5 linked regions of the Ovis aries genome follow. The protein of the gene in region 2 purifies or fractionates together with the protein of the main gene of each other region. This does not show direct contact. Links are inferred from orthologs where the notes say so. Each region holds a gene or a part of one and is shown on either strand. Other genes may lie near its edges. The genes, in order: GAB2, CRKL, RAPGEF1, GAB1 and NEDD9.

Region 1 (5,391 bases), on a different chromosome or scaffold from region 2:
AGTATACTCTGGTTAAGAAAGATGTTAAGGTTAGGGAAAGCTGGATGAAAGGTACATGGGAACTTGCTGTACAATTTCTGCACCTCTTCTGTAAGCTCAACATTATTTCAGAATAAGAAACTGAAAAAAATATGCAGATTCTGATCCTGTAAGTCTGAGTGAGTAGAAGTCTTCTGTCTTCGTAACAAGTTCCCAGGAGAGGTTGATGCTGCTCGTCCATAAACTCCACTCTGATAGTAAGAGTCTGAATCAGTGGTTCTCAAACTTAACCATGCATCAGATTACCTGGCGGGCTGGTTAAAACACCTCCAGAGTTTCTGATTCACTAAGTCTGGGGTGGGGCTTAAGAATCTTCATTTCTAATGGGTTCCCAGATGAGGCTGACGTTGCTGATGAGCTAGAAACAGTTTTCATGTTTTTAAAGGGTTCTAAGAAGTTTACAAAACAGGTATAGGAATCAGAGATTGTATGTGGCCTTCAATTATTTACAGAAAATGGATGCTGAGCCCCAGACCCTTGCCACTTGGTGTGAAGCTTTTAAAAGACTGATGCCTAGGTCCCACCCCTGACATTCTTAGCTAACTGATGTGATATGGATCCCTAGCATCAACATTTAAAAAATGTTCCTCTTTAATTCTGATATGTAACCAGGTTTAGGAAACTACTAACTTAGGCTTTCCATCTGCCACACACACAAAAAGAACCCTACTCCTCAATCATCCTAGAGTTGTGGATGAGCCCAAACAAATGGCAAAGAGCATTTCTGCAGCTGAAGCCTCACTTAAAAATGGTGAGCTACTCTTTCTGTGAAGGCTAACAAAATCTGAACACAAGTCAGAATCTCCCCCTTCTCATGTGTCCGTTTCCAGGGAAATATAAAGAACAGTGGATTGTGCATCAACAGTACTCACAAAGAATCCCACACCTCCCCTTACCAGAAAAGCGGCTAGTGTAACTATGCACGTTGTTCTGAAACAGGAGTGGACAGAGGATGCATCAAAGAAGAGAGCAAGGTGCAAGCCGCCCGTGTGTGGGTGACAGGTTAACCAGGCACAGAGAGCTGGAGAGCTGAGGGGAGAAAGGGCAGGCCTGAGACACGGGGTGGCGCGGAGGTACCTGAAGAAATACCAGCAGCACCTCGAGCTTCATCATAACCCCAACATGCCTGCTTTCCACATGAGCAGACTCAGGGCTAGGAGGACCTCCACCCTGTGGCCAAGCCCTTCAGACTCCTCCCCTCTGCCTACTTCTCCCCCACCTCAGAGGACAGCCTTTAGCTAAAGCCTGCCCTGCTGTTCAAGGAGTCTGAAGGCCGTCCCCTTGGCCCCAGGGGCCCAGCCACTGCCAGGAGGCACCTGGTCCCTGCTGAGAAGCGTCTCGTACCTGTGCTCTCTTCTGCCTGGTTGAAGCCGCAGATCTGGCAGATGCTCTGGACCCACTTATTCATGTCCTCCTCCGTCTCGGCCACCAGGTAGAAGGTGCGCTCGCTGGTCTTGATGTCGAACACGAAACTGTCCTGCAGCTCCTTCTTGTTGAAGGTCAGGCCTGCATCCACCTGCTCGCAGAAGTTCAGGTTGATGATGCGCAGGGGCTTCTTGGAGTGATCATTCTTGTAGTATTCCAGGACGTCGGGGTCACCACTCATCCGGCCGCTCCGCAGGATAAACCAGCGTTTCTTCCAGGCCTGAACGGGAAGGAGTGAGAGCAGGGGGAAAGTCATGAGTCAATTCAAAGCTTTTCACAGGTCCTCAGATATCACCAGGCTAAGGGTGGGGACTGCTGCACCTGCCAGCCGAGCGTGGCCTCTGTCTCCTTTTTGTGCTTTCCCAGAGTTTAAAAAACAGCGGATGACTTTAGCATACACATTAGTGCAGCATTTCATTACTGAAACAGGGTCTTATCACTATGAAACGAGATACGTCATTTCAAGAAGTCAGATGAGGACTAACACACTTTACACAATTATTCCATTAAGCTAGAATACAGCCTCAAACTCACAGGACTTTTAGTCAGGGTGGAACTTGCAAAGCCATAACATCTCAGTTTACGGATGGGGTCCCCCACTAAGACAGACTGAGTTGAAGCCACAACGTCACATACAGCAAGTAGCGGAGAAAAAAGTTTCCAAGCTTTCAGTACCTGGTGCTTTTTACCCAATCATGATGCCTTGGAGGAACCACACAGAAACCCTTCTAAAACCTCCCTGAAGCACAAAACTTCAGAATTTCCCCCATCTCAGTCACTATATATAGTGGATAATACTATATCCCTAGTATTTATAATACAGCCCTGTACATAATAAGCACTCAATATACATTACTGAATGAATAAACTCCTTATGTCATGCCATATTATAGAATTTAACACTCAGTTACACATTTCCTTATGTTGTCTACATTCCCTGTCTTCAATGAGACCGAGTAATCTGTGAGCAGACATCACACAAAGTGGTAAAAAGATATCACAAATAAAACAGAGCCTCGGGTGGAGTCTGTGCTTCACCACCGACTAGCTGTGTGATTTTCACATAAAGTTATTTACCTCTTTGGAGCTTGCTTTATCTACAGAATAGAATACCATCACCAACTGTCCTACCTACCTTATAGGGTTTATACTGCACACAAAGCACTATGATGCAACCCTGCTGCTAAGTTGCTTCAGTCCTGTCCGACTCTGTGCGACCCCATAGACGGCAGCCCACCAGGCTCCGCCGTTCCCAGGATTCTCCAGGCAAGAACACTGGAGTAGGTTGCCTTTTTCTTCAGACGGCAGCCCACCAGGCTCCGCCGTCCCCGGGATTCTCCAGGCAAGAACACTGGAGTAGGTTGCCTTTTTCTTCTCCAATGCATGAAAGCGAAAAGTGAAAGTGAAGCCACTCAGTCATGTCTGACCCTCAGCGACCCCATGGACTGCAGCCTTCCAGCTCCTCTGTCCTAAAGCGCCACTGATGCCAAGGATCATCGCGGTTATTTAGACCTCACTGGGACTTCACTCCATGAATCCTGGCACCTTGCACTCTCCCCTTCTGTCTCCATCCTCACTTCCTTCCACCTGCCTTGTTCCTGTGATCCATCATTATAATCATTCTCTTGCTTCTCTTCCTCTCTTTATCTAGGAAACCATAACCTTTGACTAAGTCTAATGCTTAGCCTACTCTGCCTGTTTCCACTCAGCTGTTCAGAGCTGGAGAAAATCACACAACCACGCTGGCTCCTCTCACTTTAAGCTCAAGTGAGCCCTCCTGCTCCAACAGTCTACTACATTTGTCTGGTCCCTGATTTTCTGTTGCTCTTGGCAATCATCTGAACCTTGCCCTATTTAAAGCTGTAGCACCTCCACTCTTTGGTATGAGACTATACAGGCAAGCAGAAGAGAATCTACACATGTTCCATCCCCGTATTTACCAGTCTGCCTGCATTATAGCAAAGCAGTTTATTACTGTGCAGCATGGATGGTTCATCCAGTCTAAGGCCCACTTTCTTCCGCCAGAGCATCACCCCCTCTCACGACATGGGGACAGCACATGGCATCTTCCCTCCCTCCTAGGATCATTCCCATCAGGACACCAACTTGTCCCATCTCAGAAAAAAAAAAAAAGAAAAGTTTGACTTGATCCCACATTCCCTTCCAACTATGGCCCAGTTTTCTGCTCCTCTTTACAGAAAAACCTCAGAGATTTCTACAGTGTTAATCGTTGTTTCCTCTCCTCCCATTCTTTTCTTGGAAGCAATACAAGCAGGCTGCCCCCAACCCCCATCTCCTTCAACAGAGGTCTTAAAGACTTCAACACAAAGCAACATTTGGATTTTACTTGATCTCTCAGCAACATCTGAGAAAGTTTACTATTCCATTCTCTTTGAAGCATTTTCCTCATTTGGCTTCAGTGCTCACTCTCAATTTTCCTACCTCCCAGCTTCTCTTTTTCAGCTTCCAGTTCTGGTTGCTCCTTGTCTCACTGACTTCTAAAGGCTAGAACGCCCCCATGCTCAGTTCTTAGACTCTCCTCTTTCTATATCCTCTTCTTAGGTTATTTTATTTCATTTCACAGCTTTAAAAGTCATCTAACTGCTGTAATTCGCAAATTTATAGCTCCAGCCCAAACCCATCTATAGAACTCCAGAGTCTCATACCTGCTCCTCACTAATAGGCATCTCAAATCTTTCTTTAAAAACATATTTTATTTGTCTGGCTGCATCAGGTCTTAGCTGGGGCATGAGGAAGCTTTGCTGTGTCACATGGCATCTTTCATCAAGATGCATGGACTCTCTAGTTGTGCGCGAGGGCTCAGGGGCAACACCGCTCAGGCTGGGCTGCTCCACGGCACATGGGATCGTAGCTACCTAACCAAGGCTCGAACCCGCGCTCCCTGCTTTGCAAGGCAGATTCTTAACCACTGAGCCATCTGGGAAGCCCTGGCATCACAAACTTCCTTTAAACCGAGCTCTTCCCATCCTCCGAGTCTGTTCTTCCCGCAATGTTTCCCATCTCAGTTACGAGCAGCTCCAACCTTCCAGCTGCTCAGGCCAAAAATCTGGATGTCAGTCATCAACTTCCAAACCCAAGAGCAAATCCTGTTGGTCCAAACAGTTTCAAAACACATTTACAACCCGGTCACTCCTCCACACCTCCACTGTTACGCACTTGGTCAGGTCCACCGTTCGGCCGCCTGCCTGCTTCCATGCTTCCATCTGGCAATCTGTTCCCAGCGTGGAAGCTGGTGTCAATCAGAGCATAGCACTTCTCTGCATTAAGTGCCCTCTGGCTTTCCACTGCACTCAGAGCAGAAGCTGAAGTCCCCGCAGTGGCCAGTGAGCACTGGGCGACACCGCCTCACCCACAGCTCTCCCCTCAGCCCTGCCCCTCTCTGCCGCGCCCATTCTGCTTGAGCCACGCTGGCCACACACTCCTGCCTCAGGGTCTCTGCTCTGGCTGTTCCCTCTGCCTGGAACACTCCTTCGCCACATATTCCCATTGCTTATGTACTCCATCAAGTCACTATTTAAATGTCCCATTACTGGACAGACTGTTTTTCTGGCTGCCCAATCGTCACACTCTCTCCCCCTTACTCTGCTATGCTGATCTCACCAGCACTCACACCACCTACAACACCGTATGGCTGCTGATTCTACCCAGCTCCTAGGATGGAAACTTCATGAGGGCAGGTATTGGTTCTTTTTATCCCATGCTATATTCTCCGTGTTTACAGTTGAGCCTGGCACATAGGTGGTTATCAATAAATAGGTACTAAATTAATTACTGGATCATTTTCTCCCACCCAAGTATTAAGCAAGGGCCTGCTTAATACCTGGATGGGAGAAAATGATTCAGTAATTAATCCAGTACTTATTTACTGATAACTGGTGTTGGAGAAGACTCTTCAGAGTCCCTTGG
Region 2 (5,830 bases):
TAAAACGGAAAGAAAAACCCAGGAGCACTTACCTAACACTGAACAGAACTTAACAGAATCTTGGAAGTGTTCACACTCAAGTAAGATGGAGGTGAAGTGTCTGTTTATGCAACAAGCTTCAGCCTACAAGCTGCACCCGTGTGCGGAAAAAGAATCCTTTAAAATCTGTCATTGGAAAACCAGAAGCCACTGACACACCTTAAATGTAAGATCCAAGACAGGACTGAATAGTGCAACTCAAAAGGCAAAATTAACAAGACAACCCAGAGGACAGGCAGCTGCAAACACACCAAGTCATCTGCCTCTTCCTTCCTCCTCTCCGTTCCCCTCCCATCAGCAACCGTCTTCAAACCACAGCCGTCCGTCAGCCCTGCCAGTCAGCCTGCGGAACGTCTCTACTACAGATGGACGCACGGACGGACGGACAGCTCACCAATCGTCATCACCGTGACCTGGATTGCAATAATGGCCCAGGTCACTTCCTGACTGCAAACTCCCCCCTGGCACCCCACTTCCTTCCTCTGAGCAGCCGATTCAAGCTGCCTCTGCAGAGCCACGGCCCTGGCGCGGCTGGCTCCCCACCCTGGGCGCCCTCTTGGCTTCAGCCCTGCTCTGACCCTCCTGCCTCAGGTCAGCCCCGCCTGCTAGACCCCCTGCCCACGTGGACTTTCTTCACACCGACCAATGCTGTCTTTTACTTAAATCTCTACTTTCCAGCCTGTCTCCTCACTGACATCTAAGGCCCATGATGGAGAAAGCACGTCACCCCTCTCTCCCAGTACGCATCCCTGGGATTAACTCTCCTGTAATGTCTGGACAAGGACGTACACTGTGAAGTTAAGGGGGCGTCCCTGTGGTGCAGAGGTTGAGACCCCAGCTGCCACTGCCAAGGGCTCAGTTTTGGTCCCTGGCCAGGGACTTTGGCTCCCACACGCTGCACGGCCAAAAAAAAAAAGCTACTCCCCCAACAAAAAAAAGAGATCAGTCCTTAAATTCTGAGGAAGCCAGTAAGTCGTCACTTTTTACTGAGCAAAATGAACCCCAAAAAATAACTATTAGCCAAAGCGCAGAAGCTCTGGCTTCAGGAGCTCGGTTCTGAGGCCTGAAAGAGCCTAACCACTTCATCCATCCTGCCTGGGGCGTGGAAGCACACGGCCCTGATTTTTGCCTTTGGCCAAAGCTGGCCCGGCCTTGTCTTCTACACTAGCTGAGTAATAAGCGCATCACACAGATCCGCGGGTTTCTGGCTCCGGGAGAGGCGATCCAGGTTCAGTGTGACCAAGTGAATCCTGCCAGGATCTCATTCAACTGGGGCAGCGGCAGCCCTCGGAGACACCAGGGGAAGGAAAACTCGACGGCAGCGGGACGCCCGGGGCAGCGGGCGGAGAAACAGCAAAGCTCAACTGGAGGCGGGGGCAGCGCCAGGGAAAGGCCCCAAGGGCAGGGAGGCGCGCCCGGTGAGGGGCGGGTGGGGCCCGAGCAAAGGTCCTCCGGCGCGAGTGGGCGTGTAGCGCGGGCTCCCTGGAGGCGGCGGGAGAGGGTGAGGACGGGCATCTGGGAAGCAGCACGAAGGGAAAGCTGGGGGTGGCGGCTGCGGGCACTGGGAAGCCAGGGCCGCGCCCCTTTCTCTCCACCCAGAGGGGCTCGAGTCCCTCCCTCACGGCTGCACTGAGGCGCGCGGCGAGGCCCAGTCAGTGCCCGAGAGAGCGCTCAGTCACCTTCACAAGCCAGAAGAGCCAGTTACGCGAACGCAGCTGAAGCCTCACCACTGCGGGAGCCGAGAGCCCCCAGCCTCTCACGCTGGAATCACACTGTGCTGAGCGCTGCCTCTAGCTCCCAGGCTCTTCGGGGACCTGGAGGCCTCGCCAGTCAGACTCGCCGCGGCTAGGCCTTTGTTACGCAGTATCTGATTTATAATCCCTGTCTCCCAGCTTTTAAAGTCCATTTAGCTCAGCAGTTAACCTCCTGGTCATTACACCGCGAGGGCTTCATTCTTCTCTACCTCTAGTCCACAGAAGCATCCAGTGCGTCCCCCTTTAATACGACAGCTTCTCATGTTCAGAGCTGAGACTACTATCTTGTCAGCAGATCTATCAAGTCAGAACCATCTCACCCTGAAAAAAACCTGTATTAGCACCCTGTCCTTTCTAAGCAGACGCTTGAAAAGATCAATACCTTTTATTTTTAAAACCCTACGCCATCTCTTTAGCTCAAGTTTTGCATAATCTGCACAAAAGAAGCCTCGAGCAAAATATTAAGGCCAATAATGAAGCCCAAATGAAAAGGGATGCCCAATGCTCAGTGTCACTCTGGGTTATTTTAAAATAGATACTAAGTCATGCAACTCAGTACAAAAAGGACATCTGAAATTCAACTAGCGTAGAATCTTCAGTGGAGTGTCATTCAAAATTTCCTCTTAGTAACAGTCTAGACTCATTCCACCTTGGAATTTAACCAAATGGATTTCCAGTCCATTAAAGGCCCAGCTTGGGGGAAATCTATTAAAAAAAAAAAATTCCTCGTTCAAGCCGACCTCTTCTACAGTATTTTCAGTTAATGTGTTATAAAACAGACGCCTGGCTTATTTCAACCCTGGCACCAGGCTATCAATATATGGCCCTGATATTTCACAGGTAAAGGCATTTCGTTTCTACCTGCGAAGGCATTTCCATCTCTAGAGTTTCCAAAGGCTGCCGTCCGGGAGGTCCAACCCCGGAGCTCAGAGACCCTGAAAGCGGTGCAAACTCGGGAGGGCGGGGGGCAGGGAGGGGCCCGCGGGGCGGGGAGCCGAAGACTAGCTTCAGAGTCTCAACCCGTGGCCCCAAACCGGCTGCAAGACCGGGAGCAACGCCCTGCTTCAGCAGGTAATTTGCACCGAGGACGCGACGAAGGGCAGAAAGCGCCCCTTTTCCAACTGGGCGCCCGCAGCGCGAGCTGCCGGGCCCGACGCACCGCCCTCACCCACGGCGCCCCCGGCCGGCGCCGCCGCGCCGAGCCCCGCGGCCCCGCGCACCTGGGCGCCGGCTCGATGAGCGTGGTGGTGTCCAGGTAGTGGATCTTGTAGAACTCCAGCAGCGCCGGCAGGTGCTCGAACTCCTGGTCCCCGATCTTGAAGCGGCGGTTGGGCAGCGAGTTGATGATGTAGTGGGACACCCGCGAGTTCTCGGACACGGACAGCACGTAGTCCCCCGGGCAGGTGGACGAGTCGCGGACGAGGAACACGCCGTGGCGCTGGCCCTGGAGCCGCGTCTGCGCCTCCTGGCGGGACACGGGCCCCATGTACCAGGCCGAGCGGTCCGAGGAGTCGAACCTGGCGGAGGACATGGCGGGCGGCGCGCGGGGGGCCGGGCGGGCCGCTCTCGCCGGCGCTGGGGGCGCCCCGCCCGCGGCGGCTGCGCGCCGGCCGGGCCTCGGGCTCACCGCGCGCCTACAGGCCCGCGCCCGCGCCTTCCTCGCGGCCGCGGGCCCGCAACATCCTCCGGGCCGCCGGCCTGCTCCGGGGCCGCCGCGCGGGCCCAGCCGGCTCCGGGCGCGGGCCCGGCCGAGCGCGGCGAGGGCGGCTCGCGGCGCCTCCGCTCAGCCCTGGCCCCGGCGCGCGGCCGGCCCCGCGTCCCCGCCGCTCCGCACCGAGCCCCGCGGCCGCGCCGAGCCGCACACCGCCCGGGAGCGCCGCGCCGCCGGGGCCGCCGAGCCCTGCCCCGCTCCCGAGAGCCACAGCAACAAAATGGCGGCCGCGGGCGCAGCGGCGGCCACCTCCCCCGCCCCCCCCCGCGCCCCGCGACTGCGCACGCGCGCGCGCCCGCTCCCGGCGGCCGCCGGCGCCGCCCCGTGACGTCACGCCGCGCGGCCAATCGCGAGGGCGGGCGTGCGCCGCCCGCGCGCGGCGCCGCGCTCCCTCCCGGGCCCGCCGGGGGGCGCTGCGGGGAGGCGGCGCTTCTGGAGCCCGCTCCGGGAACAAAGCGGGCGGCGCGGGCCAGGCCCGGCCCCCGGGCGCGGCCCCGGGCCGTGCGCAGCCGGGCCGGCCAGGTTAGGGGGTGGCGGGGCCGACCGCCGCGGGTGCTCAGGCGGTGGCTGGCGAAGCTCCCGCGTCCTCTCGGAGCCCTTGCCGCCTTGGCCCCCCCAGGACCCCCGCCGCAGAAGCCCCGGCCCCTGGCCGCACCCCCGTCCGCGCCGGACCGTCCGTTTCACGGGAGCGGGGTTTGGTGCGCCTTGTTCAGCCCTGGGCCTGGCGCTTCTTCGCCCCGCCCTACGCTGATCTCAGACCTGGGCGGAATGAATGACTGTCGGGGACCCCCCGCCCCCGCCCCCGCCGGCCGGTGGAGGCGCCTGTCCAGAGGGGCATCGGAGCCCGGCTCTAGACTCCTGGGGAGCCGATCTCGTTGCTGGGCTGAGCCTGTCCTGCACTGTAGGTAGGGCAGGCGTCCCCAGCTTCTGCGACCCAGTGCCTGATGACGGGAGGTGGAGCCGATGTAAGAATAACAGAAAGAAAGTGCAGCGTGAAAGGAATGCGCTTGAACCATCCCCCGCCCCGAGGAAAAACTGTCTTCCACGGAAGGGTCCCTGGCGCCCAGGATGCTGGGGACCACTGTCGCAGCGTGATGGCTGACGTTCCTTCCGGGTAAACTCAAGGGGAATCGTCACGGCCTAGGGCCTTTTGTGACTCAGCAAAGCAGGTTTTCAGCTTCCCTCCAAATACTTTCGCGTCGTGTTACTTTCGGGCACAATTTGAATAGCTCAGAATTTGAAGAGGAAGGCTTGAGTTCCAATCCTAACCTGACTTACCAGTTGACTGTATCATTCCTTGTCATATTTTTTTCATCTTCTAATATTAATTTTTCTTTCAGTTTTATAGAGAGATAGTTGACATACAGCACTGTACAAGTTTAAGGTGTACAGCTTAATGGCTTGACTTGCTTACATCATAAACTGATTATCATCACCATAAGTTTACATATAGATACAAAATTAAATACAAAAAAAATGTTTAGTGAGCATCTCAAAGATACACAATTATATCTCAGAGAAGTTATCATAGGTTGTATGCTTTGCAAGAGGCACTCAGGGAGGTCTTTTGAAGTCCAGGACTCATTTCAGTGTTACACAATTATTGCCTATAAGTTAGTCCATTTTGCTTGCTTTGCTAATGTGTGTGTGTGTGTGTGTGTGTGTGTGTGGCGGGGGGAGCTATTAATTACATTATTCTACTTTTGTGTATGTTTGGATTTTTTCACAATAAAAATAATTAAGTAATTTCTTATTTTTCCTTAGCACAGCTGAAACAAGCTTAAAAACTTTTTCCCCCAAAAAAACAGCCTAGCCACTAAGAGGTAATGAAATGGAAATGAAGGGGACAAACGACAAGAAGCTTTAAAAAGGGGCCATAACGTAAAAAAGATTTGTGATTCTGCTCTAGCTTGCTCTTCCCGAGGTTTCCAGGTAGCATTGTACTTACTCTCTTCTAAGATAGTTAGTTTAGACTCAATTGACAAGGCTTTTCCAGCAACTTGCCAGGGTTCCTGTCCCTGAGGCTGCCTCTGTACTGAGGATTCAACGCCAGCTCTCTTTTGTGGCCTCGCCACGTGGCATGCAGGGTCTTAGTTCCCCAACCGAGAATCAGACCCGCAGCCCCTGCCTTGGAAGACAGGGTCTCAGCCACTGGGCCGGCAGTGAAGTCCCCTCACCGAGGAATCTTTTTAATTATGTGTTTGTTTCCCTTTTCTGTGCGGGGTCTTCATGGCTGCACGGTTTTTCTGCACTTGCGGCGAGCGGGCTTCTCGTTGCGGTGCCTCCTGCTGCAGGGAAGGGCTCCAGAGCGCAGGGCGCGGTGGTT
Region 3 (5,391 bases), on a different chromosome or scaffold from region 2:
TCTGGGCCTGGGCCCGGCGGGGTGGGGGCCGGGGGCGCCGGGCTCTGCCTTGGTCTGGAATGCGGGTGCACACTTGCACACGTGTGCTGTCTCCGGTGATTCTGTTGCCGTCGTTCATTCGTTGGCTTTGCACAGCTGCTTCTCCAGAAAGATGGCGTTCTAATTATAGTCGCTCAAGAATTAGTGGAATGTTCTCCTGCCTTGGCAGAGGCAAGTGTACACACTTCTCTGTCTTCCCTTGCCCTGCTCGTAAAGAGCACGAGCGTGAGTGTGGGGCTTCCAAGGACTCCCCCTGATGCTGCACCCCCAGGGTAAACTGCCTCCCCCATCCCTCTGCAGGTGACAGGATGCAGGGGGCTGCTCCCTCTTCTGATTGCGTCAGCTCTTGGCTCTGCACCGCGTCTGTAATCACCAGCCAGGTAGCTGTTCCTTCAGCGTGTGGGGGGTCCTGTTTAACTTGTAGATGGTGGTAAACGGCCAAGGGTGACCTTCTCCTCTCTTCTCCCAGTCCTTGATTGTGGGTGACCGCCACCCTCCTCATCTCTCCAGGAATAGGCATCGACTGTGACAGAGTGGGGTGACACTGACTCCAATTATGTGGAGTATGCCTGTTTTCTCTTTTAATTGGTATTTCAGAATTACTATATGTTCACTGTAGCAAATCAAGAAAAAGCAGAGAGGCAAAAGCAAGAAAATAAGGGGTGTTTCGTAGCCATCTTTTCTTCTATACATGTGTTCTTGGTTGTGTTTTGTTTCCAAAACATACTGTGTATACACCAGTGTGCCATCTGGTGGGTTCTTTTCCATTTAACATTGTATTGTCTTTTCACACTATCATATATTCTTGTTCTGAGTTTTCTTAATAGTAGTATAATGGTCCATTGTTTGATTCTATCATAATTTATGTAATCAGTACCTAGCTCAGTTCAGTCACTCAGTCGTATCCGACTCTTTGCGACCCCATGAACTGCAGCACACCAGGCCTCCCTGTCCATCACCAGCTCCCGGAGTTCACCCAAACCCATGTCCATTGAGTCGGTGATGCCATCCAACCATCTCATCCTCGGTCGTCCCCTTTTCCTCCTGCCCTCAATCTTTCCCATCATCAGGGTCTTTTCAAATGAGTCAGCTCTTCGCAGCAGGTGGCCAGAGTATTGGAGCTTCAGCTTCAACATCAGTCCTTCCAATGAACACCCAGGACTGATCTCCCTTAGGATGGACTGGTTGGATCTCCTTGCACTCCAAGGGACTGTCAAGAGTCTTCAACACCACAGTTCAAAAACATCAATCCTTCTGCGCTCAGCTTTCTTTATAGTCCAACTCTCATATCTATACATGACTACTGGAAAACCATAGCCTTGACTAGACGGACCTTTGTTGACAAAGTAATGTCTCTGCCTTTTAATATGCTGTCTAGGTTGGTCATAACTTTCCTTCCAAGGAGTAAGTGTCTTTTAATTTCATGGCTGCAGTCACCATCTGCAGTGATTTTGGAGCCCCCCAAAATAAAGTCAGGCACTGTTTCCACCATTTCCCCATCTATTTGCCATGAAGTGATGGGACCAGATGCCATGATCTTCGTTTTCTGAATGTTGAGCTTTAAGCCAACTTTTTCACTCTCCTCTTTCACTTTCATCAAGAGGCTCTTTAATTCTTCTTCACTTTCTGCCATAAGGGTGGTGTCATCCGCATATCTGAGATTATTGATATTTCTCCCAGAAATCTTGATTCTAGCTTGTGCTTCTTCTAGTCCAGTGTTTCTCTTGATCTACTCTGCATGTAAGTTAAATAAGCAGAGTGACAATATACAGCCTTGACGTACTCCTTTTCCTATTTGGAACCAGTCTGTTGTTCCATGTCCAGTTCTAACTGTTGCTTCCTGACCTGTATCAGTACCTAGTAGTGAATATTTAATTCTGGAATATTGACTAGTCTGATTTTATCTGTGACATAGAATGCTACAGTGACCATTCTTTGTGGCTTAATTTTTTTACATATCCATGTTATTTTCCTTGGGTTAAATTGTTATAAAATATATGCAGATATTTAAGGCTTTTGATGTGAACTGACAAGTGGTCATCTTTTAGAAAGACTCCCCAAATCATTGCTTCCCTCTATCATGGAAGTCTGAAAGTTTCTGCTTTTATTACCATCAGAACTAGAGAACTTCTAATGATTATTGACCATTGGTTTTTACATTTGTGAATTTCTTTGGTATTTTTTTTGGTGTGTTCACCTTTTTTCTAGTTTTTGTGTTTTTTCAAAGAACGCTTGTTCCATGAAGGAAATTAATACCATGAAAGGTATTAAGTCTTTGCCTTAGCATACTTGTTGAGGTTGGTGGGAAGGGTGTTTTTAGCTGGAGAAGCTTTGCAATCTGATCTAGGGGCACACTGCCATGGTGTCCCGCTTTCTCCCACTGCTGCCTCCTCTGTAATTTTAGAAATAGTTGTTCATGATGAAAGCCTGACCTTCTCATGAGACACAGGAAGGTCCTACCCAGGAGTGCATCAGCAGGAGAATGGATGAAGGAATTGGTTTATCCATACACTGGAATATAACTCAGCAACAGCAAGGATCACACAGAGACACAGCCATTCACACTGAGCAAAAGAAGACAGATGAACAGAGACAGAGAGTGGACTAGTGGCTGTGAGGGGCCCCTAGAGACGCAAAGCTTCTTTTGAAGTAACAATGAGCCCCGAAGTTGACTGTGTTGATGGTGCCCAACACTGTGGACAGACTGAAGACCACTGGATTGCATGCTTTGAATGGCTGGATTCTATGGCATAAAGCTGTTCAGAAAAAGAAGATAGACACAAAAGAGCGCATATTGTGTGGTTCCACTTATATCAAGTCCTGGGCAGAAGTGATCCAAGAAACAGAAGTGGGAAAGCAGTCAGTGGGGGAGGGGCAGATAGACTAGAGAGAGTGCTGGAAACATTTTGTTTGTTTGTTTTTTAATTATTTATTTGGCTGTGCTGGGTCTTAGTTGCGGCATGTGGGATCCAGTTCCCTGACCAGGGATCAGACCCTGATCCCCTGCATTGGGAGCACAGAGTCTTAGCCACTAGACCACCAGGGAAGTCTCTCATTCTGTATTTTTTGAGTGGGCCTTATATGGTATATGCAGCTATCAAAACTCTTCAAAGTCAGGGGAAATGCATTAGCATTGAAAGAAAACCAAGTAAACCCTAATTTTTTTTTTTCTCCTATTAAAAAAAACTTTTTTTTGAAAGTCATTTCTCTGCTAGGTGATAAGCCTTGAACTTTCTGTGCGGTGACAAAGATCCCCACCCTTCATCTCTGGATACCCACCGATGCTGCACCCACAGACAGCTCACTCTGGGAAACCACCTTACCCCAGACCTCAAGCTTGATCGTTAGTAGGCAGCGTCCTGGCTTCAGAGAATTCAGAGCAGGTCCTTCTCCACAAACCAACTGGGAGTCACTGCCAGGAGTTTGTGTGATGAAGTTAGTCATTCTGAGACAGTGGGCTGGTCATTTCTCCCTCCCAAGAGGAAGTATCTTTATGCATGCGAAACCTCTCTGCGCGCTGTGGAGGTGTTTTGGGCGGGTAGGGCATTGTTTTGGGAAGTCATGAAGGTTACCTGAGTCAAACAATACTCGCCCATAGGGTGAGTGGGGACTCCGGGTGGTGGAGGGCAGACAGCTGGCCACCTTGTCAGGATATTCAGCGTGAGGAGCGCTCCTCGTGTCTCACCTCGTTTCTCTTGTGTGGGGGTAGGAGCTGGTCAGACTCACCATCGAGAAGCAGGGGCATCCGTCTCCAACAAGTCCCGTGAAACCCAGCTCCCCAGCCTGCAAACCTGACAGGTGAGTGCTGACTAAGCCCTCCAGGGGTTGCGGTCTCGGTCGGTGGACACTTGAGAAAGAAGGGAGCCCCTGCCAGGCAGACCGTGTCCTGTGAGGCCTGTGGTCCCTTTTCAGTGGCCTCTGGGTAAGAGCCCAGATTACCGTGAAGTGTGCGTAGCTCGCACCCATCTTGAATGGTTGTCTGGTCTCAACACGGTCTTCTCTCAGGGCACCGTGTGATACGCAGGGTGACCCCACCTGCACTCTGCTTGGCCCGCTTCCTCCCGTAATGAGGAACAGCTTTGACAGATTGAGTCTTTAGGGGTTTGGCTTGAGAGCATTACTGAGGGTGATGTGGACAGTTTAAGGCCTTGCAATAATTTCTACTCGCAGCCCCTAGTGAAAAAAATGACACCTTCATTTGGGGCCATTTTCCAGCATCATGCAGTCCAGAGATCCCTCTCATAGATGAGGAGACCAAGGTGCAGACTCAGGGGCCATGGCCAAGCTTCTGTGGGTGATCGAACTGGACTTGAAACCCCATCTTTGCCATGGAGCCCTGGGCATAGTGTTGGCTCTGTGTCCTGGGCCCCTTGGACACTTCCCTGCCCCGGTCACATCCTGACACTCTCAGGGTCTGTGCTTACCCTGGGGCCTTCTGTAACCCCGAGTTCTCCTCAACCCTCCAGCCAGTCTGAGCTCCCCCTGACGGATCGAGAGATGGAGATACTAAACAAGACAACCGGCCTGTCACAGTCAACCGAGGGGCTCCCAGACTCTATGGATGAAGAGGTTGCACCCCCCAAGCCCCCTTTACCTGGCATTAGGGTGGTTGATAACAGGTACCTTCTATTTTCCTAGCTCTCTCATCTATTTCTGTTGTAATTTCACAAATGGATGGTGCCAGCCAAAAAGAAGATGGTGCCATTAGGGGAAGAACTTACTCTTCAGGCACGTTGGTGGTTTGACCTTCCTCGGGACGCTGCCTCCAGAGGACAGGAGTCTGGCCCGGTGCTGGCCCCTCGCCCTCCCCTGCCCCCTCGCCCTCCCCTGCCCCCTCGCCCTGAGAACTCCCAGCCGCTGGCTTTTAGTCCTAGCCAAGCAGAACCTGGTACCGTTTGTCATGAAAGGAAAGAGCAGGGACTTTCAGACGCTAGGCTTTTGGCAGAAGGGGAGTGGGGTGGGAGCTGAAAGGGTGGAAAGTAGGACCAGTGTCTAACAATGAAGAGCCTCCCACCCCACACCCTGGCGTCTGTATAAAGGCTTTTGTTCGGGTTGTCTGGTCTGATGGGCTCCTTGCTCTGTTTCAGTCCTCCACCAGCACTGCCCCCGAAGAAGAGACAGTCGGCTCCATCCCCCACCCGTGTGGCCGTCGTGGCCCCCATGAGTCGAGCCACCAGTGGCTCCAGTTTGCCTGTTGGAATTAATAGGCAGGTAATTAGCCCCATCCAGAAAGGCAGAGGTGGACTTCGGGTCTGGTGCATCGGTTCCTAAACTGAAAGAAGCCCAGTGGTCTTAAGTCCCTGTCTTTGGTCACAGGGAGGAGCTCTCTCCCTGGGCAGCCCCCGTTCCTGA
Region 4 (5,998 bases), about 58 Mb from region 2:
TTATTTTTATCACATAGCCGGAGAATCTGCTCACTAGTCTTTTTCTTACTATCTTTTATGCTACTGTCACACTGTTTAGGAAATTCAAGAAAAACTTCCATAGCAGATGGACATACTAATATGTAAAAACAATGCTGCTGACTAATAAAAATTAAAAAAGCAAACATAAAATGGAGTTGTAAGTAGAATGCATTGGGGCCATAACTTGAGATGACTTTGGAGATAAAACTAAAACAATATTTTGTCACTTAAAAGCCCTGATGGATTCTCTTAATCAATGCTTGAACTACTCTTATAAATATTGGAAAACAGTGAGACAACTATCAAAGTCCTCTGGGCCAAGTGTTCCCCCCCCTCCAAATCAATGCCCAAAAACTCCCTGAAGTCTCCCTTAGCAATTATGGTACCAGGAAGTCAAGATATCTTATCACAGAGAATTTGTTCATTCAAAACCATTATCAAGCAACATTTTGCCTATTGGGTGGTCAACAATGTTTCCTTTCATCCAGAAAATAAAGATTTTACATGAAAACCAAACTCAGCAGAGGAGATGCATGTATATATATATGCCATATCTTTGAGGGGTAAAGATGTATTAGCCAAAACTATCTATATTGAATATCAGGCCAAACAGCAATCATCTGGAAACGTGAGAATCTTCTGGGCAATCACCTTGACAGTGCAAATTAAGACAAGCCTCAATTTAGCTTATAAGACTCCAGTAACTCTCTTGGACCCCTCAATTTTGGCAGCCACCCTCCCCATAGTCTTCCTGGGCTGTATCCATGGACTGATTAGTGTGGAAAGAAAACCCTAGTGTCCTGCCTCTCTCAGCTGTTAGGTATATTCAGCCCTCAGTCGACAACAATTGAGGGAGCCCACTGTTCCTCTGACGTATCCTATGATTTCCGTCTACATGAGCCTGTTCCTGAAAACATCTATGAAATGGCCATAGGGCTCAACTTGGGCACACAATTAGAAAGCACGTGGAGTTGCTGGCTTCCTTTTCTTTTTTTTAAATTAATTAATTTATTTTAATTGGAGGCTAATTACTTTACAATATTGTGGTGGTTTTTGCCACACATTGACATGGATATGGCTTCCTTTTCTACATATGCTTGTCCTGTGTTTCTTCAGCACTGCACCTCTGATCCACAGTCCACTCTTCCTTGCGTGTTATATCCACGGACTCACAGAAAGTCATAAACCTGAAAGGTCCTATCCACATGACCCAGCCTCAGCACAGCTTAAACTTGATAAGAGGCGTTCACCTTTTAAAGACCAGGCAGGCAGGCAGGCAGATCTGGGTTCAAATCCTGCTTCTGGCACACTCTGGTTCCGTAGATTGTGTTCTCATTTAAGACAGATAATAACTGCCTCATAAAACTGTTGTAATGATCAGATGAAATATTAAAATTCTTAAATTGAGAATTTCTATTTTCTTGGTCCAGTTAAGATGTAATTGTTTGGGCTGATTTTTTGTAGTACATTAAATTGCAAGCCCAAGAGACAAGGCTTTTTTTCCTGCTGGGTTTTTTTTTTTGTTTTTGTTTTTTTTTAATTTTATGGTCCCTAGTCTAGCGTGTGGCATCTTTTGAGAGAGCCATAAACCAAACATGTGAAAGAAAGCATTAAATCTCTATTACCACTACCTATTCCAGCCAATGTAGTGTTCTTTAGTTTCCCCAAGAATCAATCATTTCCTAAACAGTACCTTCTCAAAACAAATACATCAAACCACACCCTCTCCCCACATACATACACACAGAACTCCCAACTGAAAAACACACTGCCTCTCACCCCAACTTTTAGAATAAAGTCACCATATTTACCAGAATACTTGGGCAAACTGTGATAGATGGAGAGAGGGAATTTGGAAGAATTTTAAAAATCTCTGAAGAACATCCCTAGGATTTGTGGCATCAAATCCTTAAAGGAGAACTACTTGCCTATAGCAAATTCTGGCAGCAAGTAAACCAGAAACTCACTGGTGAGTTGTGGGCTAAGTTAAATATTGCACTTCACTCCGTTCTATGCAAGCAAACTGACTAACAGGGTTACCTCGAGCTCTCGCATTGGGTGTAGACATCCTTTCACAAGAAACAGGGTCCATTATTACTCTCCCCGTTAGCAAATTTATATTTAAGGGGGCACATACTGTGCTTTCGAGACATACTTTACTAGACAAATATTTGCTCCATAAGCGAGGGCAAAGGTGTCATTTCTTTCCTTTGCTGTGGGCAGCGACAGAAGAATCAATGGGGGAGAAGGGGATAAGATCCCAGACTCCCCAAAGAGGACACAGACTTCCGCTGCAGTAACGTTGGTTCTTTCAAGGAATACTTCCCCTAACGGCTAAAACGGCTTAACACATAATCAGCATCTTGTATCAATTACACAAATACCACGAAGCAACTGTGGTGGCCTGGGAAAGGACCATAACACACAGAACTCCTAACTGGCCTTCGCTGTCCCCTCCCACAGGGTTTGACAGCGTGTCCAAGGCGCCCGAACACCAGCCATCAGGCTCCCCCCAGCGCCCTCCTCTCGCAGCAAACTGCCAAGGCTCTCGGGCCAAACTCCAACGTCCCTCGATTCAAAACCGAGAAAGTGTGAACCCCGCTAAGCAAACGGTAGGGCGCGTAATAACTTTTTTTTTTCTTTTCCGTGGAGCGGATTGGAGATGCTCGGCTCTAACGCCAACTTCCCAGGTCTCCCGTCCGCTTTCCGAAACCATCCCGTGGGGAAGGCGGGAGGGAGGGCGGTCCAAAGAGAGGGCTGGTGAGTTTTAATACCTCCGTGGTTTTCTCAGTGCGGGAAATTTACTACACAGCAGCCCCTGAGAATTCGGTGCAGGTCTAACGAAAGGAAAATGCTCTCCCCCTCAACCCCTGCTAAAAGGAACAATAAAAAACACTCAGCAGGCGCTCAGCTGGCCATACCAGGCCTTCCTAAGGGCCGATGGAGAAAGAAATTTCTCCAGTCTGCAATCTGGAGAAAGAAAGATGCCTGGCCAAGCGGAGGCCCGGGCATGAGTGTCCAGCCTGGGTCCCCAGCCTGGCAGGGAAGGGGCCTACAGGGAAGGGATGGGGACTAAAGAGGAGCAGTCGGCACGCGAGCCGCCCAGGGAGGGTAACGGGGGCCGAGCTCTACTTACATAACGCTTTAACTTTTTCTCCGGGGGGGACTTGCGGAGCCATCCCGAGCAGACCACTTCGCCGCCGCTCATGGTGCGAGCCTTTAGGGCTGCGGGCCCGGCGCGCTCCCGACACCTTCGACGCCGGACGCCCGTGCAGCTGCTGGGACCTCGCTCTCCCGCGGCGCACCCCAGGCGGACGGGGCGGGCCGGCTCCGCGGCGCTCTGGCTCTTGGCGTTCGAGTTTCTTCCCCGCAGGCAGGTCCGCGGACGTGAGTAGAAGCGGGCACAGCCGCCGAGGCCGACACCTCGGGGCAGGGGCCGCGGCCGGGCCGAAGATGCCCAGGCCTTCCTTCAGTGCACCCGCCCGGCCGCCAGGCGCGCCGTCCCGCCGGCCGCCTCCTCTGCGCTCGGGCTCCACGGGACTCTGCCCCGGCGCGGAGCCCGAGCCTCGGCCCCCTGCGCTCCGCCCCTTCGGGATGGGACCTCCCAGAGCGCACTCCGAGACAGACACGACGCTGCACGCGCGCACACACAGTCTCACACGCTCATACACACACAATGCCCCCGCGCAGTGCCCACTCCGACTGGCCAGCTCTAGGTTTTACTGCGCTTGGCGCTATCCCCTCCTTCCTCCTTCTGGAGAGAGGGTGGGTCACTTCCCCGAGGCGCCCGGACCGCCGCAAGGAATGGGAAAGCCGCGAGGGTCCCGTGGTCAGCGGGCGCAGGGTTGAGGGTTGGTCCCGGGCCACGGAGGGAGCCGCCGGCTCGGCGTCGCTGGACAGAGCGCAGGTCCCGCCGAAGGGTGGGTCCGTGCTGGCCGCCGCCGCAAGAGAGAGAAAGCAGAGGGCGGCAGAAGAAGGAGGCGCTGGGCTGCTTGGCTGCGGGGACCAAGCCTACCGTCCCGTCCCCTAGCGCTGCTCCTGCGCCGCCTCCCCCACCCCAGGGCGCGCGGCAGGTTCTGGGCGGCCCGGCCCCCGGCCCCGATCCCTCCCTCTCCCGGCCTCCCGGCTCCCTCTTCCTCTCTTTCCTCCTCCCCTTCCCACGTTCGGGCCGGCTCCGGTTTCTGCCCAGACTTTCTTTGAAACTCCGCCGGAGCGCTTCCAGCCAAAACAACAAGGGCCAGGGAGGAGGAGACGGGCGGAGGGAGGGAGCGAGCGAGGGAGGGCGCGGGAGTCCGAGAGGCACCCTGGGATCTGTAGTTCGGGACGCTGGAGAGGGGTCCTCGGCGCCCCCGGCGGCCGTGGATCCCGGAGCCCCCGGCGGGCTGGTCGCCAAGGAAGGCAGCGAAGCCTCGCCGAGGGTAACGCCGCGCCATCTCGGGTTCCCGGGCGACCGAGGAACATTCGAAGGTTCAAGTCTGTGGATTGCCATCTTGGCTCAGCCGAGTGTCAGTTCGGAGTTTGTTCTGTGCGGGAGATCGGGAGTTGGGGGCGGGGGAGAGGGGGGCGGGTACTTGACAGCGTGGAAAGCGAAACAGCCTGGAGGAAGACCGCGCGCCCTGGAGAGTCTGCGATCCCGGGGTTTCTGCCCGCAAGACTGAAAGGCGGAGACCAGGAGGGCGAGGTCGCTGGGAGCGCGCCAAGGCGACCAGCCTGCAGGGGAGGTCAGAAGGGGACCCTTCCGGACTGATGTGTGCTGGTCCCCGGAGCAGCCTTGCCTGAGTGGTGGGAGCGCTTAGTGGACCCAAAGGATTCAGTTGAATCTATCTCTGGGGACATTTTGAAGCCTTACACTCCCTCCGTTTGTTGCCAGTTTCTTCCACTTGCCTTGGCTTTTATTTAAAATCAACTCTTGGGGTGTTGGACCAGAAAAGGGAACCTTCACTGGATGTCCTAATGCTATTTGTTTTCTTTTGTGTGTTTTACAATGACTATGATACCTGGCCCTGAGATTAACACGATCCTGTAAGAGAAATATCTTTTCCAATGTATTTATGAGAAACAAAGCCCCTAGACAGATTTTGGAACGTAGTGTAAATAATCAGATAAGAGTGCCAAACGTTTCTGGAAAAAATAACCTCAGGCTTGTTCTTGTTAATACAACATTCATATTCAGTTCCTCTCGAGTTTGAAAATGTTATACAATTGTAGTAGGAAATTAGGTGCTGGGGTGGTGACAAAGAAAGGTCCCTGCACTCAGAGCGGTGACATTTCTAGATAGTTAACAGGGTCAACGCAAGTACAGATTGTGATAAATGTGCCCTGGGAGAAACTGGAAGAATAATAAGGGTGGAACTAGGTCAGATACTAGGGGAGAAGTCTTCCTTAAAGAGGCAGCTAGCCAGAGATGTGAAAGATGTTGTAAAGATGTTGTCTTGTGAAAAGATCAAAGGGATAACCATAAGGAGGACTGAGAGAGAAAAAACAACCCAGGGGGCTCATTGTTTTTCTTAAATGTTAGAATACAAGTGAGTGTAATTTTTATGGCAGCTAATAAAGCAAAGCAATTTTTATGTGAACTCGGGTTTTACCACAAGCCATCCACAAGCCATCCATATGAAAATAAATCACTAAATTTGTTTTCTGCTTCTACCACAAGCAGTGTGTCTGTGCACTGAGTCAAAGTATTTCAGATTAGCATGGCAGAGACTGGTTCACTCTTGCATAGTTAACTGTTTGCTAGATAATTTACCACTTCCTCCACTCCTGTTATTTTAAAGTTCTTTTTTTAAAAATTGAAGTATAGAGAAGGAAATGGCAACCCACTCCAGTATTCTTGCCTGGAAAATCCCATGGACAGAGGAGCCTGGCAGGCTACAGTCCACAGGGCTGCAAAAGAGTGGGACACAACTTAGCCACTAAACAACCACAAAACAATTTATTTGCAATGTTGTGTTAGTTTCAGGTGTATAGCACAGTG
Region 5 (5,391 bases), on a different chromosome or scaffold from region 2:
TCCCTCTTGGATTCATCAGGCTATCACAAGCATCGAAACTAGGCTAGATGCTTAAAACTCCTTCAATGGTCTGCTTATCTCAAATTCTTACAGCATTTGGAATTACAGAGAGTGCTGAAGAGGTCTTTCTTTCTTTTTTTTTAAGATTTTTTGATGTGGAGCATTTTTAAAGCCTTCATTGAATTTGCTACAATCTTGCTTCTGTTTCATGTTTGATTGTTTGTTTTTTCTTATCTGACAGGCACGTAGGAATCTTAGTTCCCTGACCAGGGACAGAACCTGCATGCACCCTTGCATTGGAAGGCGAAGCCTTAACCATTGGATCACCAAGGAAGTGCCCTCACCTTTTTTTTTTTTTTTTTTTAGTATGATGCCTTTCTAAATACCCTAGCTCCACTATTTTTACCCACCGCCTCAGGCATTGTTATAGGAACTACTAGAAGGACAAGAGGCTGGCTCTTCTCTGAATTCACTAGTCTCTGTGTTAAGTGAGTCGACCTTGAGGCTGATGGCTCTCCAGAACACGGTGGCTGGCTTCACCCACTCCCCCTTCCTTGCGGCCTCGACTTCTCGTGCATTCATGCAGCCAGCCGTGTGGTGTCATGGCCAGTGGGGTCATAATCGAGCTTTTAGTGAAAGGAGAGTCCTTGCTGCTTCACTATGCTTGTGCAAAGTATGGTGCCTTGTACTACTCAAGGGAGAAAGAGAAAAGACTGGACTGTGGAGTGCAGAGCCCACGTGTAAAAGCAGGGCTATCAGAAAGATGGGAACACTTGACGACGCGGTATAACCTGGCACAACTCGGGAACCTGTAAGGGCTATGGATCAACAGTACTTGGCATGGGGTGGGTGTTCAAGAAGGTTTTACTGACCAATGAATGGAAAAATGACTTCCCCTGTCAAAAAAAACGTGCAAGCTAGAGTATTCAGACATTCTTACTTCTTGGAAGATTTACTTACTTCTTCGACGGCTTCTTGGAAGCTCCAAGTTCTTATTTTAGGAGCACATAGACACATATTTTGATTGCAATGGAAAAAATTAAATAAGAAGAGAAATCCAGCTGTTGTTCACTCACCTTTTTACTTAGGTGGGGACCGTTAGCGCCCCCAGCGCCTCTCTGCCCTGAGGGTGGCACTTGATACACATCTTGTTCCTGGGTCCCATGGCCGGTGGGGACTTGGTAAATTCCCTGATTTTGGTAGGAAGGCGGCACTTGGTAGATGGTGTCTCGAGGGGCGCCCTGTGGGTTTGGTATTTGATAGAGCTTCTGTTGGCCAAAGGGCGGTGGCCCCAGTCCCGAAGTGGGCAGGTCCTGATTGGAGGAGGTCTCCTGCACTGGGCCAATCAGAAGCTTCACCCGGTTGCCGGGGACAATGCCCTGCCGGCCGTGTAAGGAGCAGAGCCACCATCCCTCCAGTCCTCCTGTGTTCTGCTCAATGACAGTCAGGATGTCTCCCTTGCGGAAAGCCAGCTCCTCGGCACACTCCGGGACATTGTCGTACAAGGCTCGGGCCATAAGATTCTAGGCAGGAAAGAAGAGAGGGGGAACGCAGGTTAGCAGATGAACTGAGTCCCTGAAACACCTAAGCCCGTGCTCTGATGGAGAGGCACACTTCCTGGAAAGAGGAGGATCCAAACAATGGGCTGTAAGGAGAAAAACAGATGGTGCAGACAAAAGACAGATCCATACGTACTGTGTCTGCCACCAATGACATCAGACCGCCTCCTCGGAAAAGCTCGGAACACCACCGAGTGCTGTGTTCCAACAGCAGAGGCTGTGCCAAGGGAATTACGAGGAGCTCGGCAAAGGAGCTGGAGAGCAGTTCACTCTACAAAGCATTTTTCTTCCTTGCTCCAATCCAGCCGAAGGAAGAAAAATATATTCCAAGATATTCAAATGGACTGCAACAGACATTTTTTAAAAGTATATTGGAGGTAAAGAGAGTCAAAGAACATTCCCCCCAGACAAACAGCACAAATGGCGTTTATATCCAGTATTAAAATGGAAACAGAAGTACACTGATCTCTGCCTTGGCAGGCCTTAACAATTCATACTCTCAGTTGATCAAGAGGTCTTCGGATACAGGGAGACTCTACAAGCGGGGGATGTTTCCATGATAATCCTGTGCAGAGTGCAGTGACGGTGGTCCACACCTCCAGACCCGAGCATGCGGAGCTCCAAAGAGGTTACCCCACGTGGGCAGGCAGAGGCCGCCCCGTCCCCTCTGGTACTTTGTTCCCACCTTTCCTGAGGGCCCCTCCTCACCCCGCCACTTTATTTCCTCCTCCTTGAATCTCACCATTCACATCGGAAAGGCTCTGCCTTCCCCTTTCATGGGCCCCAGACACTTTCTCTCTTTGTGTGAAGGCCTGTCTGGCACTTTCAGTACGGAGCAGCCAGCCAAAGCAGGCATTCGGCGGGGAGCGGGTAGGCAGGACATGCCGACGTTCTTGGAAGTCTTTCAAAGGCTGGGCGATTTCATTTCTTGGCATCAGTCACGTCTCGAGGCATGAGGGTAGCCTTCCCCACCCCGATGCCGGCTCCTTCCCAGCACACACAGAGCCCTGGAACGTTGCAAATTCATCTCCAGCCATCGGAAAACTCAAGACGGTCTCTTCAGTGCTTCACTAGACAGTTGGGATGCCCTCGATGTTGGGGTGATGATGATCGGCTGCGGGAGAAAAGACTGCCGATTGGATGGAGTGTGCTCTGATGACATACCCGTGGAATTTGGGGCTGTTGTTGTCTGGATTTCTGCCCCCGTGTTTTCTTCTCTAAAAATGTGAATTTGATCTTTCAGCCTCCTGCTTTTCAGCCCTTCATCACTGACATGCACGCACCATCTCCCCCTGTACTATGCCCCATAACCACAGGTCCTGTGCTGTGGGTCTGTCCCCTGCTCAGTGGTTGGGGAGGTTCCTACTTTTACTCTGTTAACCAAGCTCCTCTGAGTACAGTGCAACAGCTTAACAGGAAAGGAGAGGAGGAAAGGAGATGAAGCCCTGGAATTCAGTGCCCAGGAAGCCTGGTGATGCTCTTTAAGAATAAGACTGCAGTCCTTGTTCTTGACGGTTTTCTGATCCAGGAAGCCTGTAATGTAGACAGGAGGGCAGAAAAGGGAAGTTGAAGGATACTGAGGGGTTTGTGTTCCAGGTGAAAGCTGTACTTGGTATTTATATTCTAGGAAGCTTCGGGTTCCTTCTAACAAAGGTTCACACACAAAAAAATAAAAACACACAGCACTGTAACATGATGTGAGGAACCATTTAAGGATGAGTCCTAACCCGAAAATCTCTTACGTTTCTCTTCTCCCATCTTGTGGGTGATCTGTCCTTGAAAGAAAATTCATTGAGTTGAAGAAGACAAGACTCTTTTCCTCTGTATCTAAATGATGGGAAGGAAATTCAGTCAGTTCAGTTCAGTTCAGTCGCTCAGTCGTGTCCAACTCTTTGTGACCCCATGGACCACAGCATGCCAGGCCTTCCTGTCCATCACCAACTCCCGGAGTTTACTCAGACTCATGTCCATTGAGTTGGTGACGCCATCCAACCATCTCATCCTCTGTTGTCCCCTTCTCCTCTGGACTTCAATCTCTCCCAGCATCAGGGTCTTTTCAAATGAGTCATCTCTTCACATCAGGTGGCCAAAGCTTCAACATCAGTCCTTCCAATGAACATTCAGGACTGATCTCCTTTAGGATGGACTGGTTGGATCTCCTTGCAGTCCAAGGGACTCTGAAGAGTCTTCTCCAACACCACAGTTCAAAAGCATCAATTCTTCTGTGCTCAGCTTTCTTTATAGCCCAGCTCTCACATCCATACGTGACTCCACCAAAACTGTCCTGAGGTGACAGAGCAGGGAGAAGGCTGACCACTCTGGACTCTGTCCCTTTCTCCGAGGCCCATGCAAAGACTGGGAATGGCTGGCAAGGAGGCCCTAATGCCTCCTGACATCAGGAGTGACAGGGTTGGAACCAGATCTATGGGAGTTGAGGGTCCAGAGCTTGATACTGGTGATCAAGAAGGGAAAGAAAAGAAACAGAACAGGGACTTCCCCAGTGGTCCAGTGGATAAGACTCTCCCTTCCAATGCAGGCGGCCTGGTTTCCATTTCTGACTGGGCAACTAAGGTCCCCTATGTTGCTCGTGGCCAAAAATCAAAAACAGAAACAGAGGAGACTAGAAGCGTGAAAGACCACAAGCCTTATTTGCATACATGAGCTCCAGGCATCTGGAGCTGGGCACGGCTGTGGAGCTCTGGGAGGCACTGAAGTGGAGCCACGGGCCACAACCAGCTCGAGGCGGCTAGCAATCCCCGCATGAAGGCTAGTCTAGATGGTCTCTGCCTCTTGCCCCCATGACCCTCCACCACCACCAGCTAAGCCGCACGTTCAGGTTTCTAGACAGGCTGCCAGAGCCGCTTCTCGTGGAAAACCCAGGGAGCCGCTTGTGGACGCACCGTGGGTGTCTTCTGACTAGCTCCTCCTCCGTGCCCACAGAGACTGGGATTCAGGGAGTCCGGTGAGGCTCCCCTGCCAGCCTGGTGCCTCAACACTGAGAGTTCTTCTCAGCCTCGGCCTAACGGGAATAAGTTATTTACCACCTGCATGAGCTACAGGGAGCCAGCAGCCTCACACACAGAGGGGTTACAGCTCCTTCAGAGGACCTTCAGAGGACACTTGGACCCGGCCTCCCTGTTCCACAGATGAGGAAACACATCTGGCAGAGGGGACAGTTAATCATCTGCCCAAGGCCACACCTCGGTGGAGTCAGAGATGGGAACAGAACTGTAGTCTCTTGGCCTTCCAGGCCACCTTAGTTCTAGTTCATACTGTTCTGCAAACTGGGCTCCTTTCCATTTTACAGTAAAGCTTTGAAGACGACGATTCTTTTTGTCATGTCTAGGGAATAAGCCAATTCTTGGGGTTTGGGGTCTTGGCTGTGTGACTTGGGCAGATTACTCCCTTCAACCTTTGCACCAGAACTTCCTCATCTGTAAAATGAGAATGAGGATAATATCCCTATGTCATGGATTTGCAGTGAGGATTAAATGAGTTCATTCAAGTCAGTCCTTGAACATAGTGGGAGACTTGGGAAGCAGTGATGACTGTTTAATGTGTTGATGGTGCTTTGATGGTAAACTTCCTAGTAGGTTACCTCCTCAGTTCACAATCAAGGGTTGGTGATACTATTATATATACTTTATACATCTGATGTTTCTCTTGCTCATAATTACACTTCAAGAGGATCATATCTTGAAGCAGTATTTCTCTGAATTAAGAATGAGTTCTGGTCACTGCAACCTCTTGTTGAGTATTTGCCTACAAACAACAAAAGTGAAATCATTGGTTGATTCAAGAGACCTTCTGAGACAAAGTAAAATAATAAAAG

The links.
Region 1: the proteins of CRKL (region 2) and GAB2 purify together in Homo sapiens (affinity purification with western blotting; 3 studies listed by BioGRID). This does not show direct contact. The link is inferred for Ovis aries from reciprocal best matches to the Homo sapiens genes CRKL and GAB2.
Region 3: the proteins of CRKL (region 2) and RAPGEF1 purify together in Homo sapiens (affinity purification with western blotting; 16 studies listed by BioGRID and IntAct, with this or other methods). This does not show direct contact. The link is inferred for Ovis aries from reciprocal best matches to the Homo sapiens genes CRKL and RAPGEF1.
Region 4: the proteins of CRKL (region 2) and GAB1 purify together in Homo sapiens (affinity purification with western blotting; 3 studies listed by BioGRID and IntAct, with this or other methods). This does not show direct contact. The link is inferred for Ovis aries from reciprocal best matches to the Homo sapiens genes CRKL and GAB1.
Region 5: the proteins of CRKL (region 2) and NEDD9 purify together in Homo sapiens (affinity purification with western blotting; 4 studies listed by BioGRID). This does not show direct contact. The link is inferred for Ovis aries from reciprocal best matches to the Homo sapiens genes CRKL and NEDD9.

Annotation. Positions count from the first base shown.
Region 1 is NC_056074.1:15,343,761-15,349,151, reverse strand, and holds part of GAB2 (GRB2-associated-binding protein 2), read right to left. Parts: intron 1,685-5,391; coding exon 1,384-1,684; intron 1-1,383. UniProt on the Homo sapiens protein: Adapter protein which acts downstream of several membrane receptors including cytokine, antigen, hormone, cell matrix and growth factor receptors to regulate multiple signaling pathways.
Region 2 is NC_056070.1:72,321,544-72,327,373, reverse strand, and holds the start of CRKL (crk-like protein), read right to left. Parts: upstream 3,727-5,830; 5' UTR 3,325-3,726; coding exon 3,014-3,324; intron 1-3,013. UniProt on the Homo sapiens protein: May mediate the transduction of intracellular signals.
Region 3 is NC_056056.1:5,175,750-5,181,140, forward strand, and holds part of RAPGEF1 (rap guanine nucleotide exchange factor 1), read left to right. Parts: intron 1-3,748; coding exon 3,749-3,837; intron 3,838-4,505; coding exon 4,506-4,658; intron 4,659-5,126; coding exon 5,127-5,250; intron 5,251-5,391. UniProt on the Homo sapiens protein: Guanine nucleotide-releasing protein that binds to SH3 domain of CRK and GRB2/ASH. Transduces signals from CRK to activate RAS. Involved in cell branching and adhesion mediated by BCAR1-CRK-RAPGEF1 signaling and activation of RAP1.
Region 4 is NC_056070.1:14,613,975-14,619,972, forward strand, and holds the start of GAB1 (GRB2-associated-binding protein 1), read right to left. Parts: upstream 3,566-5,998; 5' UTR 3,230-3,565; coding exon 3,158-3,229; intron 1-3,157. UniProt on the Homo sapiens protein: Adapter protein that plays a role in intracellular signaling cascades triggered by activated receptor-type kinases. Plays a role in FGFR1 signaling. Probably involved in signaling by the epidermal growth factor receptor (EGFR) and the insulin receptor (INSR).
Region 5 is NC_056073.1:44,300,330-44,305,720, reverse strand, and holds part of NEDD9 (enhancer of filamentation 1), read right to left. Parts: exon of another isoform or gene 2,305-5,391; coding exon of another isoform or gene 2,302-2,304; intron 1,524-2,301; coding exon 1,077-1,523; intron 1-1,076. UniProt on the Homo sapiens protein: Scaffolding protein which plays a central coordinating role for tyrosine-kinase-based signaling related to cell adhesion. As a focal adhesion protein, plays a role in embryonic fibroblast migration.